Linked DNA regions of Macaca fascicularis. The protein of the gene in region 4 purifies or fractionates together with the protein of the main gene of each other region. This does not show direct contact. Links are inferred from orthologs where the notes say so. Each region holds a gene or a part of one and is shown on either strand. Other genes may lie near its edges.

What was found.
Region 1: the proteins of PRKAR2B (region 4) and CDK5RAP2 purify together in Homo sapiens (affinity purification with mass spectrometry; 3 studies listed by BioGRID and IntAct, counting the BioPlex papers as one, with this or other methods). This does not show direct contact. The link is inferred for Macaca fascicularis from reciprocal best matches to the Homo sapiens genes PRKAR2B and CDK5RAP2.
Region 2: the proteins of PRKAR2B (region 4) and AKAP1 purify together in Homo sapiens (affinity purification with mass spectrometry; 3 studies listed by BioGRID and IntAct, counting the BioPlex papers as one, with this or other methods). This does not show direct contact. The link is inferred for Macaca fascicularis from reciprocal best matches to the Homo sapiens genes PRKAR2B and AKAP1.
Region 3: the proteins of PRKAR2B (region 4) and PDE4DIPP2 purify together in Homo sapiens (affinity purification with mass spectrometry; 4 studies listed by BioGRID and IntAct, counting the BioPlex papers as one, with this or other methods). This does not show direct contact. The link is inferred for Macaca fascicularis from reciprocal best matches to the Homo sapiens genes PRKAR2B and PDE4DIP.

The regions. Positions count from the first base shown.
Region 1 is NC_088389.1:37,410,335-37,414,676, forward strand, and holds the start of CDK5RAP2 (CDK5 regulatory subunit-associated protein 2), read left to right. Parts: upstream 1-1,487; 5' UTR 1,488-1,676; coding exon 1,677-1,735; intron 1,736-4,342. UniProt on the Homo sapiens protein: Potential regulator of CDK5 activity via its interaction with CDK5R1. Negative regulator of centriole disengagement (licensing) which maintains centriole engagement and cohesion. Involved in regulation of mitotic spindle orientation.
Region 2 is NC_088390.1:49,631,669-49,635,880, forward strand, and holds the start of AKAP1 (A-kinase anchor protein 1, mitochondrial), read right to left. Parts: upstream 2,856-4,212; 5' UTR 2,805-2,855; intron 2,687-2,804; exon of another isoform or gene 2,565-2,686; intron 2,229-2,564; exon of another isoform or gene 1,906-2,228; intron 1,609-1,905; exon of another isoform or gene 1,444-1,608; intron 1-1,443.
Region 3 is NC_088375.1:114,058,703-114,062,945, forward strand, and holds the start of PDE4DIPP2 (myomegalin), read right to left. Parts: upstream 2,856-4,243; 5' UTR 2,471-2,855; coding exon 1,346-2,470; intron 1-1,345. UniProt on the Homo sapiens protein: Functions as an anchor sequestering components of the cAMP-dependent pathway to Golgi and/or centrosomes.
Region 4 is NC_088377.1:148,683,627-148,687,186, reverse strand, and holds part of PRKAR2B (cAMP-dependent protein kinase type II-beta regulatory subunit), read right to left. Parts: intron 535-3,560; coding exon 433-534; intron 1-432. UniProt on the Homo sapiens protein: Regulatory subunit of the cAMP-dependent protein kinases involved in cAMP signaling in cells. Type II regulatory chains mediate membrane association by binding to anchoring proteins, including the MAP2 kinase.

The sequences.
Region 1 (4,342 bases), on a different chromosome or scaffold from region 4:
TAAGTGCCACAAAGGAATAATTTGCATTGCTAGGAATACAAGAAGTGGCTTGATTTAGATTAAATGATTAGGGAAGGCTTCTTTTGAAAAGTATCAATAATTGCTTAATGATGTAATTGAAGAATGAGGGCCTGGTGCAGTGGCTCAGGCCTATAACCCCAGCACTTTGGGAGGCCAAGTGGGAGTATTGCTTGAGGCCAGGAGTTCAAGACCAGTCTAGGCAACATAGTGAGACCCTGTCTCTATTAAAAAAAAAAAAAAAAAAGAATGAGGAAACTGAGGGTGAAACGGGAATTGTTCAAGATTACTGGGGAAGTCACTATCTATCCACTCACCAATGGTTTCAAGTTATTTTCATCCGGTGCTCTCACAAGCACCTGCAGAGGAAGGAGCAACACTGAGTTGAGGAGGGGAAGGTTGATTTCATTGCTTAAGCTCTGCCAAGATTATCTAAGTGTTTGGTGATTGCTATGTGCTTTAAGAAAGGCGGCCAAGGGGCCGGGTGCTGTGGCTCATGCCTGTAATTCCAGCACTTTGGGAGGCTGAAGCGGGCAGACCACGAGGTCAAAAGATCGAGACCATCCTGGCCAACATGGTGAATCTACATGGTCTCTACTAAAGATACAAAAATTACCTGGGCGTGGTGGCGCTGCGCCTGTAATCTCAGCTACTTGGGAGGCTGAGGCAGGAGAATCGCTTAAACCCGGGAGGTGAAGGTGGAGATGGAGGTTGCAGTGAGCTGAGATCGCGCCACCGCACTCCAGCCTGGCGACAGAGTGAGGCGCCGTCTCAAAAAGAAAAAAAAAAAAAAGACAAAAATGAAAGGCAGTCAGGGTTATGCAGAGGGCCCTCATCTAGTTGGCAGGAGCTGCAGACCCCGCTCCAGTTGAAAGACATTGTCAATACTTAATTACTTTGGGAGAGTCATTTCCTCTCGCTGGGCCTCAGTTTTCTGACCACAAGTGCCTTTTGAGTCCTAATAGTAATAAAAGATCAATAGGTGAGTGACTGGAGTGAGAGTGCTGTTGACCACTGACTCATGGGAGTAAGTTATTTGCTTCAAACTAAGTCTGCAAATTACTGTTTGCCTTGAGATTCCGCATGTAGGATTTTTCTGAAGCAAGGCAGCACTCAGTTATCTGAGTTTCAACTCAAGGTCAAATCCCAGTTTTGGGGTCACTATTCCAGAAAAGCAAACACGAGGTTAGGAAATTTGAGGATGCCTAAGGGGCTGTATTCATTCCCATCTCCCGCGTAAATTAACGGACTAGGGCCGGCTTTGGCCCTCAACAAAGATGGCACCCGCCCTCGCCTCGTCTTAAGTGCCCTCACAAAAAATGACAGCCGGCCTTTTTTTTCTCTTAGTTTTGCTGGCAAAAACACGGACGCTGTGCCCTTAGTTAAGATGGCACCTACCCCCGCTTCCCTGCCCGTCCTCTGGCGCCAGCCGGTCGGCTTCACTGCGTGCGCCTCGGTGACCCCGCCTCGTTTCCGTAGGAAGAAGCGCCGGGAAAGATGGCGGCGTCTGTGGTTTGAATTCCAGCGGCGCCGCCAGAGTCTGAACAAGCGCTGGGGTGGAGGGGGCGGGGACCCTGGGAGCTCGGCGGGTCGCTACCGCGGGGGGTACTAGTGGCGCCGCCGCCACTGACACCAACACCGCCACCACCTCTGTATCCATGATGGACTCGGTGTTGGAAGAGGACGTCACCCTCCTTGGGACGCTCAGCGGCTGCAGGTGCGGCCGGGGCATTGGTGGTCTTGGTAACCGGGCCGGGGTTCCAGCTGATGGGGTTTCACGCTAACGCGGCCTTGAGGTTTGCTTTTGAGGGTGTCTGGCCAGGGGCAAGTGTGTGGGGTGGGCTCCTTCGGAGAGGGTCTCTGGGGGGCCCACCAGCTGACACTTTGGGGGGCTGGGAGCCACGATCTGCACCACAGTTGCCTGTAGCATTGCACCACGTACTTTGTAGAGGGCTTGAAGAACAAGTAAGCGGTTTTGTGAAAGAGTAGGACCAGGGTGGGGCCACTTGGAGTATCCCGTTAGTGGGGATTGGTGCGGAACAGGGACCTTGAGGGCACCTGATGGTTCACTCTGGTTTGAGGGTTTGTTTTCATTATGGAGAGTGTAGCCGATATGCCCAGACTTTGCTTTTTGGGTCAGATAGTGGCCACCCAGGAGGCAATGGAGTGCCATGGTTAAGAGCCGTGGCTGGAGTTGGACAAAACTGGATTCAAATCCAGCCCTGTAAACTGACTAGCTGTGTGACCTTGGTAAAGTGATTTCACTGGCTTTCCCATCTGTAAAATGGGCTAGTAATATCTACCCAATAGAGTTGGGGTGAGGATTAAAAGAGGTGATGCCTGTCGAGCCATTAGCTTGGCACCTGTAGTGCCTGCCACATAATCAGTACTTAAAAAATGATCTTGTGTTGCCATTAGTGTTATTATTACTACTGTCATCAAAGGTGATATGAATCAGGGAATAATGGCCAAGAGTGGCCTCCCATGGACCTGCCCCAAGAGACTGGGAGTCCCCATTGCTGGTTGAGCTGGAGTCTGGTAGGAAGGCCTAATAGAGCACTACACTGCTTCAGGGCTGGCCCCTGTGGTTGTCCTGGACTCCTGGTTGGAGAGTGAGTAGAAGAAGGAAGAGGAGAGCCCTGACTGAGAACCTGCACTGTTTATCCAGCTCTACTAGGGACAAGCTGCTGCTTTTAGTCAACAGATCCTAATTGAAAGGGTAACCATGGTATTTATTGTGCTAACTGGGACACTTAAGAGTGAAAAGGGCCAGGCGCGGTGGCTCACCCCTGTAATCCCAGTCCTTGGGGAGGCTGAGGTGGGCCGATTTCTTGAGCTCAGGAGTGTGAGATCAGCCTGGGAAACATGGTGAAATCCTATCTCTACAAAAAATACAAAAATTAGCCAGGCATGGTGGCATGCACTTGTAGTCTCAGCCGCTCGGGAGGCTGAGGCAGGAGGATTGCTTGAGCCCGGAAGGTTGATGCTGCAGTGAGCTGTGTTCATGCCACTGCACTGTAGCCTGGGTGACAAAGTGAGGCTCTGTCTTAAAAAAAAAAAAAAGTGAAAATAATTAATATTTATGCCCGGGCAGCAGACATACATAGGGCCTATCTTGGGTAAACTTGGACAAATGGTTTTTCTGTTTATTGAGAACCTTCATGTATCAGGCACAGATTAAGATGCTTTGCAGTTCCTGTCTAATTGGGTCCTGTGATATTTCATCATGCCCTTTTCTGTCTGTTTTACTTCCACTGCCCCAATATATTTGGAGTATGGCTTCTCTCCTGTATTGTCCTTTGCACCTCTAATAGTTTTTTATACTACAGTTTGAAAACTATTATTTATTTATTTATTTATTTGAGTCTTGCTCTATCACCAGGCTGGAGTGCAGTGGCGCGATCTCGACTCACTGCAACCTCTGCCTCCCGGGTTCAAGCAATTCTCTTGCCTCAGCCTCCCCTATAGCTGGGATTACAGGAGTGCACCACCATGCCTGGCTAATTTTTGTATGTTTAGTAGAGACGGGGTTTCACCATGTTGGCCAGGACGGTCTCCATCTCCTTATCTCGTGATCTGCCCACCTTGGCCTCCCAAAGTGCTGAGATTATAGGTGTGAGCCACCATGCCCAGCCTGAGAACTATTTTTAAAATATAAATCTGCTCTTCACAGTCTGCTGCTTTATACTTTTAATGCTGCTTATTGCTGTTACCATAACTTCCATTATTATTCTCTCAGATAGCCATTCTCATTTCAGTGCTTGTTGGCCAAACACTTGGGTTTTGGGGTCCCAGGCCCAGCTGGGTTTCAATCCCAGTTCTGCTACTTAACAACCCCTTGATTTGGGGCAAGTCACTCATCCTCCGTGAGCCTCAGTGTTTATCATCTGTAAAAGGGGTTGGTGTAAAGCCTAGGGTTGGCATAAGGATTAAAATGAATCTTAAAAAGTTTAGTTCAGTGTCTGACCTGGAGTAACTACTCAACAGAACAGCAAACATTCTCCTTTCCCTCATCTCCCTCCTTTGCAGGACCTAGATACTGCATACATTCCATCTTAACCATTTTAAAGCATGGTTCAATTGTATTAAATCTATTTGTGTTATTGCTGAACTGTCACCACTATCTATCTTTGTAACTCTCCATCTTGCAAATGCAAAACAGAAACTCTGTCCCTGTTAAAACAGTAACTCCCTATTCCCCTCTTCTTCCAGCCTCTGACAATCACCAGTCTACTTTCTGTCTCTATGATTTTTTTTTTTTTTCCTAAGACAGGGTCTTGCTCTGTTGCCCAGGCTGGAATGCAGTGGAGTGATCTTGGCTCAC
Region 2 (4,212 bases), on a different chromosome or scaffold from region 4:
CCCACAATAGGAAAACAGACCAAGCTACAGAGAGGCCCAGTCATTCTAGACTCACAGGTAAGATTTAGGAAAGAGGGACCTAGGGGAACTCTATGGTCAGCTCTCTGGGTACATTGGCTACAAGCTGCCTGATCTTCAAAGCCCTGAAACGCACACACAATCAAGTCATGTTGCAGGCTGGGACCAGGAGGCTAGCCAGCAAAGCTTAGGGAAACCAATTTGTTTTTCCTCCCAAACAAGCTTCTGGGTCAGAGGCTAAGGAGAGGGGTGCTTTTAATAGAATTCAAGTCACTCAAGTAATTCAAGAGAAACAAAGTCAGTCTCAGGGCTTGTTTAGGGAGGAGAGGGGAAGAGCAATGCTTAAGCACCTATCACAGTCCCCAGTATCACAAATATGATCTCCATTTGTCTTTAGGACAGGAAAAGGGAATACTGTAGAGGCTAACACCAGCCTTCCCCTAAAATATGGCTGCAACCCAGCCTATGTCCAAAGCTCAAGAATAATTTGGGTTACCAGGTAGCAAGATAAATTGCTTTTAAATATTGATGTTCAGCAACCTTACAGTGGAGACATACCGACTTCAGCACCTCAGCAGGCCACTTACAACAGACACCTCCACTGTCACCCTGCAGTGGCCAAGTGAGAATGCATTTCCTAGAAACAGCTGAGAGATGGGAGATATTCCTACAAGGAACCCCACCTAGACGCAAATCCATTAGACCTATCTCACTCACTGGCTATGACCTGCAAGTTCTGAGGCACCATCTAACAACATGCATGAAGACAGAGCCTATTTAATTCAGTAACAGACTCGAGCTTTAGTGATTTGCATACCTGTAGGATGCAGGGGACCTCCTCTAACCTAGGGCCATATTTCAAAGAGAATACACCCAGGAATGATTATGCAGAACCTACAAAACTAGTTAGAGGTTAAAGAAGAAAGGTTCAACACAAGTCAAAAGGCTCCCAAAACAAAACTTCACTTGCTTCCAGTGCTCAGGGTCTTAAATAATCAGCAGGTGAACCACTTGAATGCCAAGAACAGAGGAATCATATAAATGATCAAGTCAGGCAGCCCTCTTCATTTCAAAGATGTTCTGTACCTTTAAGAGCAAAGTGGATGGGTGGTGCTAAGAGTCCAAGCTTTGCTTTCTAAATAAAGAGTTTTTTTTTTAAAAAAAGGGTACTAATTTGGGAAGGACTTAGCAGTTACATGAGCATGTAAGGTTACTAGTTGCCAGAATTAATAGCTTTTTGTGAACGGTGTTCCTTGATCAGTAACTAACAGATACTGTTGCACCAGGTCCAGCAGCCTAGATTTCACTGGAGACAAATTTAAACACTAAGTAACGCGCACTACAGTACGAGAAAGATACCCAGGTTAACCTCACTAATTGCCCTGCGCATACACCCTAGCCAGCTTGAGAGGCCTCGACAAGCACCTGGAGCGAAGTCCACCGGGTTTGTGTTAACCGCGGCAGGAAGGTGCCGTCACCCAGGACATCCCCCGGGAGAGGAAGATCCCGAAACGCCCAGGGCTCCCATGCCGTTCCGAGTCGCCACAGCAGGGCCCACCACGATCAGCACCTTTCTTCTCCTATCCCTCCCTGGAAGGGAAACAAGAAGACCTTCAGCTAGGGCACAAAAGAGTTGAACGCCAGAAAGCCCGCGTTCGAGGCGTCCAGCCACTGTCTCTCCTAGCACATCGTAACCCCGAAACCCGCACGGTCCCTCCAGATCGCGGACCCGGGGCGCTGGGCCGCAGGCGGCTCCGGACACGTGACCCTCGGCGTCCCCGGGCCTGAGGTCGGCAGACACCCCAGGTTGGACGGCCTCTGTCCCTCCGGACACGCCTGCGGGGGCTACGAATGCAAATCCCCCCGAGACGCCCCTGAGCCTCCAACCTCCAGACCCCAACTCGATTCGAACGGTCCCTCAGCCCGAAACACGGTTGGATCACAACCGGCGGATGTCCCGGCCCATATTCCCGGTTCCCCTGGCTCGCCGCACGGAACTCCCAGGGGCGAGCCGAGGGTGAGAAGTTGGGTGAGGCTCCATAAGTGAAGGGGTAGCTCCGGCTCAGACTGTGTACACACGACCTTTGAAAAGTAAACGCCCGCGGGGCTGGGCGACCTTGGGTGGGACGCGCTCGGGTCAGCCTGGCAGGCGGGTGTGCGCGCTCCGGTAAAGTTGAGGCGCAGAGAGGCGACCCGGGCGCCGCGCCCTCGCCCCCCGCCCCCGAGGACAGTGACGCGCGTGGGGAGGACGGCGCGGCCGCAGAGCGCCGCCCAGAACCGCGCACACGCGATCTGTCAGGAGCCCGCCGGCAGACAACCGGCGGGGGAGGAGGAGAGGGAGCGCAGGCGAGGGAGGGAAAGATGGGCCTGACAGCGCGCGGCGGCCAAGAGCCCCCAGGACACCTCTGCGTCCGGAGCGTCCCACCCCCGGGGTACCTGGAGCGCGCGTCGCATCCTGCACCTGCACCTCAGGCTCCCCATCGCCCTGACCCCGACGCCTTCGGGGCTCCGGCAGGGGGTCCCCGGCGCAGCCGCCCCCGACCTACCAGCTCCTCGGCGACCGTCGGGGTGCGGGGTGCGGAGTCCGCACGCCGCCGCCGGCCCCCGGCTGTGCCCCGTGGCCCGGCCCGCAACGCCACTCTTCCGCAGCTCCCCCACGTGCTCGCCCAGGCCGGTGGAACACAGAGACATTAAATACTGGAGACTCGCGGCGACGTGCCCGCAGCGCGACGCAGGTCCCGCCCCTCGCCCTCGTGCCCCCGCGCTCCCGAGCCCGCCCCGCTCACCTGCGCGTGCGCGCCGCCGGCAGCTCGCGGCAGTGCCTCCGCCGCGCCTCTGCCAGCTGCGCCAGAGGGGGCGCGGTCTAAAGCGCTGGGCTAACATCCAGCCGCCGCCCCGAGCCGGGTCTTGCTCGAGCTCTCGCGAGAGGAGCCGTCATCTCGTCGGTGCCCGGCGGAGGGGCCGGGCGGGACGGTACAGAACTCGGAGGACCATTGATGCCCTGCCCCGCCAGCCCAGCACCGGTTCTGCCGCCTTAGCTCGAAGGGTCAGCCAGGCCATCTCCTGCCTCGGGACGGAGAGCGCCCTGGAAAAGGCAGAGGGGCCGGTGAGGAGCAGGGCTTCACTCGCTTCAGGGCTTTGAGCTTCCCTGTGACCGTCATTTCCTTGTAACGTATAATTGAGTTGGCCATTAACAATTGCTCAGTTAGCTGCGTAATGGTGAAACCTGGTACCCCTCAAATGCAACTTTCTTGCCCGTTTTTACAACTTGATGTCATCGAAATGAAACACTTCTCTGAATTGGTTTGGGTTGTGGAATGATTCTTGCAGAGATAGTCACGGTGAGTCACTATCTCTGCCAGGAACTTGGGAAAATAAATTCCCCCAAAATAAATGGAGACGGTAGGGTTTTGACTGGTCAGCCCTGCTCTCATCCTTAAAACAAAGTGACTTTAAATGAGCATTTATTTGGCCAAAATATAGAAAATAGATAATGCTAAGAACTAACAATTACTTGGGAATATGCTTAATCTTCACTAGTGATCAAATGCAAATTTAAATGACAGATGCCATTTACTATAATGAGATTTAAGTCAAATTCATTTATATATGAATCCCAATTGCATGGTGTGGTAGATGTCAGGAAAGAAACAAATAGGAAACTGACATAGGAAAGAAAGAAAAAGAGCCCTGTTTTAGGTCCTGTGGTCAGAAAAGGCCTAAAGTGAAATTTAAACTGAGACCTATTGGATGAGAAGGAACCAGCCTTGCAAATTGTATATGGGCATAAGGGTTGGAGGAGTATTCCTAGCAGATGCATAACACAGGAAAAGTAGGAAGCAACTTCTGTTAAACTGGAAGACCAGTGTGGATGGTATGTATTGACGGAGGCAGTGTCAGGAAAGGAGATAAAGAGGATCGTTTCTTGTCTTTGTTTTTTGGGGGAATAGGGGCCTGGGCTGCCTTAGTAAATACTTAGTATTTGCCACAGTAAATAGTGAAGCTTGGATTTTATTCTACTCTTAGTCCCAAAGCCAGTCATGACTCTACCTCAGGGCCTCCCTCCACATGGAATATTCTGCAAAGCTCACTCTCTCACCTCTTTCAAGTCCTTTGCTCAAAGGTCAGCTACTCAGACTCAGTGAAGTCTCCCCTGGACTCTCTGTTTTATTTTATTTTATTTTTTATTTTTTG
Region 3 (4,243 bases), on a different chromosome or scaffold from region 4:
TGGTCCAGAAATACTGTAAAGCCCAAATTCAGCTGAGGCTCCACTGAAAGGAAAAGCAAAAGAAAAGAAGTACATACATTTTATACAAATGAAAACGCACTGACTTTTTACCTTTCATGACACTTTCATCTCTGCTGTTTCTCATCTATGCTGCTACTCATAATTTTGTGTAAATTTAAAAACTTTTCTCCTGTTTTCTGCTTAGGTTCTTATGGTGAAAGAAAGTATACATACCACAGAACTACTTTCCAAAAGTTTCATGTGACCATCAACAATGTTACTTATCAAGCTCTAAATTTCTGGAATGATGTTGACCAGTAGCAGGCTTTCTAAAAATGCCTTCTAGATCACATCTACCTTTGTGACAGTATCGCTAAATAAGTTGTATCAAGTGGAACATGCCAGTATGTTTCACAAAGTTAACTGAACCTAGCATTTACTGTTGCTATAGAAACAAACTACCATAGCTGAATTTAAAAGGTTGGTATAGAATCAATTGGGCAGACATGAATGGTTCAAATTAAGCAACTGCCATCCTCTAGTCATTAAGAATTCAAGACTATAATGAATGAAACTCTCCTCTGATCCAATAATGGGTTAATCCTTTCTTAATATCAAATATCTTCCAGTAGAACTCAGCAGAGTTCTGGCTGTGAACAGTTTATGCCTTAACGTTTTGAGTGACAATACTGTACTTGAATACTTGAATTCCTGTCTCTTTTATGAATGAGTCATCACTAATCCTCAAATGAACTATTCATTATAATAAATATTGTCCAGATGTTATAATACTTTACTGGTGGATTAATAGGTTTCCCCCAAACCTTTTACCTTATGCTCTAATCATTTACAGGCATTTTGCGGATGAAAGCTTCAATGCTCTGGGAAGAACTAACTAGAGAACTAACTGCCTTACAGAAAGCCATTGGGAGGAAACGTCTATAAATCTGAAAACAAGAACAAATTTTAAAAGTTGTTAAAAAAAAAAAAAAAAAAAAAAGAAAGAAAAGGAGATAAGAGGAAAAGTTCTAGTGCCAGAAATGAGATTAAATGTCTTCTTTTTACAGGATAAAAGTGAAGTGGGAATCTTTACCTTTTTGTTTTAAAAGGTATACAATTTTGATAATGGGAAGGCCAACAGATTTTACAAAGACTGTGAAAAGCAAATTATCTGAGTACGAATCACGTTTACTAAATGAGACACAGAAAAGGTGCAGCAAAAATGGGCTCATGACTAATTTTCTCAAGTCTAGAATATTACTAACCTCCACCTAGACCGAAATCATGTGAAGCCAGAGGCCAGCTAGCTATAATCAGAAAGGCACTGTGTAGCCGTTTTGTATACCTGGACCCGGAGCGGCAAATAATCTTCACAGAGATCATCCCACAGCTCCTGCAGGTCTGAAAGCTCCAAGGGGTAACTCACAGGTGTCTTGTAAAGGGGTTTCAAAGACCTGTTAAGGAACCCGGAACTAACTCCATCTGTCATGCTATGGCCAGGCTTGGCTCCAGGTGGGCTGGATTTCACTGGAATCGGAAGCCTGCTCCCTCGGGGGCTCTGGATGGGCTTATAATCAAGACCTTTAATCATGCTAAGAGCTAACTCCAGCTTGTGATTACACCCATGCGGCGGAGCCTGATCATCTGAACAACAGTCACACTTTCCAAGTTCCTTTGCACTTCTCTCAGTCTCCTCATCTTTCTGTTGTGGAGGGCTAGCGTGGACGCTTGCATCCAAAGATTCCACAGAGGAACCCGGCGTCTCTTCCTCCATGCTTTCTCCATCTGGGGGTACCTTTGTGCTTGCTAAGTCGGGTGGCCCAACCTCAGACAACGCTGGTTCTTCAGTGCAAATGCTGGTCGACCACCTGCTAGAAGGGCCACAGGAGATACTTCTGGCCACCTTTCGAGGTACCTTACAAATGGCTTCATAGTCAGAATCAGCAACCCGCAAAGCTGCACAACCACGGCATCTCCTGGGTCGGTTTCCAGGGCCTTCCGAACCATGGCAACTGTGTGGCTCCTGGATCTGATCCTCATTCTCCACCCAGCACTCAAACCCTGAATAGGCGAAGTCCTCCTGGAGCAGTGCAGAGTATCTCGCATCAGGTAAGACAGACATGTCAACCGTCCCATTCCCCGCCTTGACCTCCGGGCCAGAGTCATCGTTATTCTTCCGATACATACTGGCAATGCAGAACTTGAGGCGATCTTTCTCCAGTAGCAGCTTTTGCAAGCGCTCAATAGAAAGAGCTTCGATCCGGGCAATAACCGTGTCGAATCGATAGATTCGATCAAGCATGAAAGCACACTTGCTGCAAGCGAACTCGGCTTTGCCATCGCGGGGGACATCCTTGCCCAGGACGTGCGAAAGCAGAACCTGGAGGTTCAGCTTGGACGCTGTGTGGAAGATCCAGCGCCGCTGGTTTCCACACAGCTCTCGGGCACAGATCCTGCAAATCTCCTTCATCTTCCCTCCTAGCGGGTGCCAAGCTTCCTGAGGCGGCGGCGGCGGCGGCTACTGGATGACCACTCAATGGCTCTTCGCCGCGCTCTGTCTCCCGCCTCAGTGGTCTCCAGTCAGCATGGCACAGCCCAGTGGGGTCCTCACTCTGCAGGGGTGCACCCCTACCCCGTGCGCCGGCTCCGGGTACCACAGCCGTCAGCCCCGCCCCTTGGGCAGGGGGCGGGCGTGGAAACGTCTAAGAGGATGCTGAGTGACAGAGGCGCAGGCCGCGCTCCGACCCTGCCATGTCTCTCCCCAGCTGTCTCTCCCGCCAGCCGCCGCGTCCTCAACGTCCTACCCTTTTAACAGACTGGGCTCCCGGAGCAGCAGCGGCCCGCCGCGCAGACTCAAAGGCTCGGGGATTGAGGATCAGATTTCAAGATGGCGCCAGCGGCTCCACGTCTGCGGCTTCCACAAGGCTCCTCTGGGAGCTGTAGTCCGGTCAGCGGGCTCCCGGCTCTGCGCATGCGGGGTGGCCAGCACGCCCCTCGCCCCCACTCCGGTTGCGCACCTGGCTCACTGGGAGTGCAGAGCAGAAAGCACTACTGGCGCGGACCACAGCCAGCCGCTTTTATCTGCTAAGAGCTCACCTGAAAGGCGCACCAGTGCCCTCAAGGATCCTCCCGCCTCTGCAGGATGTCCCGAGGCTCCTCCTCGCGGGGAGGAGAAGGCCGAATCCCCTCCCCCTGGATCCTCGGACAGTGCCACGTCCTCCGGCTGCCAGCCGGGCAGCGCCGCTAGGTACCGCTGCGCGCCGCCGCCGCCTCCAGCCAGCAGCCCCACCTCTCCCGGCCTCGCCCCGCCTGGGTTCTAAGGCCCTGAGACTGCGAGGCGGGCGGGGGAAGGCTTGGTAACGGAGGGGCGGGTGGGGCGGGGCCATGCAACCCTTACCTCGACTCTGAACCGGAATGTCCAGAAAAGAGTAGAGGACTGTTTCTTCCTTGATGTGGGTGGGGGAGGGTTAGCACCCTTGGGGGACTTTGCCCTACTTTCGGTAAAAAAGAGCACTGAGCAGTCACCTGAGAAAGCGTCCTGCAAATACAATGTGAATCTGGTTAACCAAGATCTTGAAGATAGTAGAAGGGAAATGTGCTTTTTCAAGGATGCAGCCAGCCGCGAGTAGATTACCGCCACTGAAGTCTCTCCCTCAGGTAGAGGGCATTCATTATTTTAGGGCAGGGGAGGGTAGACAAACACTAGCGCAAAAGACGGAGCTCCTTTCGGCAAGAGCTGGAGTGTCTGGGAATGCAGCTCGCGCCAGAAAGGACTGGGAACTTCGCTGACTTCGGTGAGAACCCTGTCTTACTCAGCACTGTACAGTGGTAGGTCCTCCACCCTTGGGTCTAAAACTTGGATTGCACACAAAGAGGAGGGAAGCTAGAGCCCTGACTAGGTGGGATGCAGGTACCTCCGGCCATTTTTTTTTTTGAGTGCAGTGGCGCGATCTCGGCTCACTGCAACCTTCGCCTCCCGGGCTCACGCCATTCTCCTGCCTCAGCCTCCCGAGCAGCTGGGACTACAGGCGCCCGCCACCACGCCCGGCTAATTTTTCATATTTTTTTAGTAGAGACGGGGTTTCACCGTGTTAGCTAGGATGGTCTTGATCTTCTGAGCTCCTGATCCGCCCGCCTGGGCCTCCCAAAGTGCTGGGATTACAGGCTTAAGCCACCGCGCCCTCCGGCCATTTTTAATAAAGAATTCTCTTCCTGACTTGAGAGGCATTCAGACACGGAACAA
Region 4 (3,560 bases):
GAGGCCTGGAATGCCAGTTTTAAGAGGAGAAGAAAAGAGGAATAAACAGCAAAGATGACTGAGAGGAAGAGGCCAGAGAGGACATCTTCTATCTAGAGAACGCCTCCCTGTAAAGTTACAACTAGTGGCTCTTGCCTACATCTATGTGATTGTATGACGTCTGCTATTAGATAAAGACCACATATACATGTGCTATAGATGCGGGGTAGGAATGCAATTATACAAAACAACTTTCAAATAACAAAACAAATGCAATTATAGATAGCAGAAGAAACAATGAGTTATAAAAACTAGCATTACCACTTAATCTCTTCAAATAAAAACATGGATAAATTTTTTTTATTCAAGGAAATTTTTCTATAGAACTAAATATTCCTAGCAAAACAGAAACTTTTAAAGCAAAATAAAATAAAAGTATAAACATGCACTTACCTCCAAAGATTTAAGGAATGGCAGTGACTCAATAAAGCTTTCATACATTTTTCTCTTTTTGGCATTGTTTTTCACAATTATTCTCCTGAAGGTTACCCTGTCCTAAAGGCAGAATATCAAATAAAAGACAGTTAAAAGGTAAATTTTATGGGGGAAAAGCTATACAAATAGTTTTATTTTATTCCCTACAAGAAGCAATGATTGAAGATTCTGAAATAAAAGATTAACATCAGTATATTTTTAATGCAACTCATTTCATATTTTTATTTCATCAAGCACAAAATATAATACAGAACCCCATAAAATACTGTTTTCTTTTTTTTTTTTTAAGGAAGTATGTTTACTTTCATACATAACAGAAATCTGACCAACATGTTGGGCTCTGCCCACAAGGAGGCGCTATCACAGCATTTTTTAAAATATATGGTAGCACTGTGTTCTTTTACTCTGTGTTATGTACTCTATGTTTTTTCATATCCACATTATGTCAAAATTTTCTTTTTAAAAATGTGGAGATATGCCCAAAGAAATGATAAATGCTTAAAGTGATGGCTACTCCATTTACCCTGATGTCATCATTATGCATTGTATGCTGTTATCAAAATAGCTTATGTACCCTGTACATATATACACATACTATGTACCCATAAAAAATTTTTTTTAATGTGGAGGCACAGAGAAATTACAACTATGTTTTTGAGTAAGATCTAATTCCAGTGTTTACCATGTTCACAGTCTAAAATGTTCCTGTTTATGTTTATACTACATGCCCTCAAAAATGCAGAACTCGGTTGAAGAACTAGTAAAAATTTTAAGGATACAGCTCAAAAAATTATTTTCCTAAAAATTTTATTTTAAATAATCTCTCATATTTTAATTCTTTAATAAAAGCCTCAATAATTATGTTAGCTTGGCATTCATTAATAAACAATTATACCATTTTAATAAAGTAAAAATTGGGATATATTATTTAATAAATTACTATGCAAACAATTTAATATTTTTTACTTTTATTTTTAATTTTTGTGGGTATATAGTAGGTGTATATTTATGGGGTACATGAGATATTTTGATACAGGCATGCAACGTGAAATACGCACATCATAGAGAATGGGGTATCCGACCCCTCAAGCATTTATCCTTTGAGTTACAAACAATCCAATTACACTTATTTTAAAATTATACAATTTTATTATGTGCTACCAAATACTAGGTCTTATTCATTCTTTCTTATGCCACCATAGTAAGGCTGAATTTAAACGAACTAGTGCAATAGAGAAAAAGGCCAGTATAGATGAAAGTCTCTAGGTGCGATGGGCTGCAACTCAATGTTTCTATCATTCTAAAATCCCTCTGTTGAAATCCTGATCACCCAGGATAGTATTAGGTGGTGGAGTCTTTGGGAGATGGTTAGGTCATGAGGGTGGAGCATTCATGAATCGGATTAATGTCCTTATAAAAGAGATTCTAATGAGCTCCCTTGCCCCTTCCACCACGTGAGAACACAAGTAGAGGACGTTGTCTGTTAAACAGGAAAACAAGCCCTCCCCAGACCCGAATCTTCTGGTGCCTTGATCTTGGACTTCCCAGTGTCCAGACGATGAGAAATAAATGTTTGTTGCTTAAGCCTCCCATTCTGTAACAGTTTGTCACAGCGGCCCAAAAGGACTAGGACACTAGTAAATTAAACATCTTGTTTCCCAATTTGGTATTGGCTGTAATTTGGACTTGTTTTACTCCTAATACTTCTTTTAAAAGAAAATTTTACGATAATTAGCACAAATATTGAAATTATTTCCAAGCCTAGCTCTGCATCAGAATAAGCTAGAGTACTAAAAAGGATTTCTGAGACACCAGACTTGAATGACTCAAGATCTCTGCATGTAGGGCTCAATAATGTGTATTTCATAAATGCTCCCAAAGTGATTCTGATACATAATCAGGTTTGGAAATCAGGTATAACACCATTTTTATGGACAGAGTTTATTGCAAAACAGAGAAGACTCAAAATAGCTTAATGGTTTAGAAACTAATCATAATCAGTTATCTCTCTCAGAAAGAATTTACCATTAGTAACGTATCTCTTCACACCCAGTGTGACATATAAAGTCCAGAATTTCAAATACTTTCATCCTGAAGCCATTTCAACAATCCCCCTTCCAAATCATCAGTACAGTCACATAGATCATGTTACCCCTAAGGCTAACAGTGACCAAATATTATTTACAGAGTGAGGCTATACTGCAATGCTTTTCTCTTGGGCTTTTTTTTGCTTATCTTTACACTTACATTTATAAGGCAGACCTCCAGTCTGTTGACCTTAAAAGAAAAATTTCTTTTCTACTCGACTCTCCCTGAGAAGGAGTTATTATAGTCAAGTCGCCCTTAAAAAGCAGGCTTGAAATACTAAGCAATTATGTTAATTATCCTAACATTTTTAGAAAGCTATTATACATCAGGAGGATCATGACAAACTGCCCACTTTTATAAAATTTAGTAACATGTATAGACAACTAAAAATCTCTGAAAATGCTTAATCCTTCTTAGGAACTTAAGTAGTACGTGGACTAGGAAATTCTGGGTCTTTTATACCCAATTAAGGTTTCTACAAGGGGTAAAAACTATCAGTATTCAAAAAGGCCAACCTATAAAATCATTGATCTTATTCTGAAGATGTGCAAGGAGGCAATTTCCTCACTGTGTGACAATCTGAATCTGAATGGCAACCCCACTGGAATGACTACATTTGAAAAGTAAACCTTCCTCAATAAAACAGGTCATGGCAGATGCTAGATTTATCCCACCGCTTTAATGACAGGCAAACAAACACTTCTGTGGGTGAAGGACTGTTCTGGTTTGGAGTTTTTTCTTTGCTGGTTCTGGGTATTCAAATCGCTGACAGTTCTTAAAACACTTCAGATGATGAGTTTCCTTCTCCCTGAGACAACTCAGCTTTTCTTCTAAACCTTAAAAAAGTGACTCATCACATTTTTAAATAAGTATATAATAACTGGTTCTAATTAAAAGAAATGTAAAATGTCTTGTCTCTTTGATCAAGAGATATTTTTATCAGCTGAATCGACTTCAGAGTCAAATGCTGAACTGTGACTAAATAATGTGTGACTTCT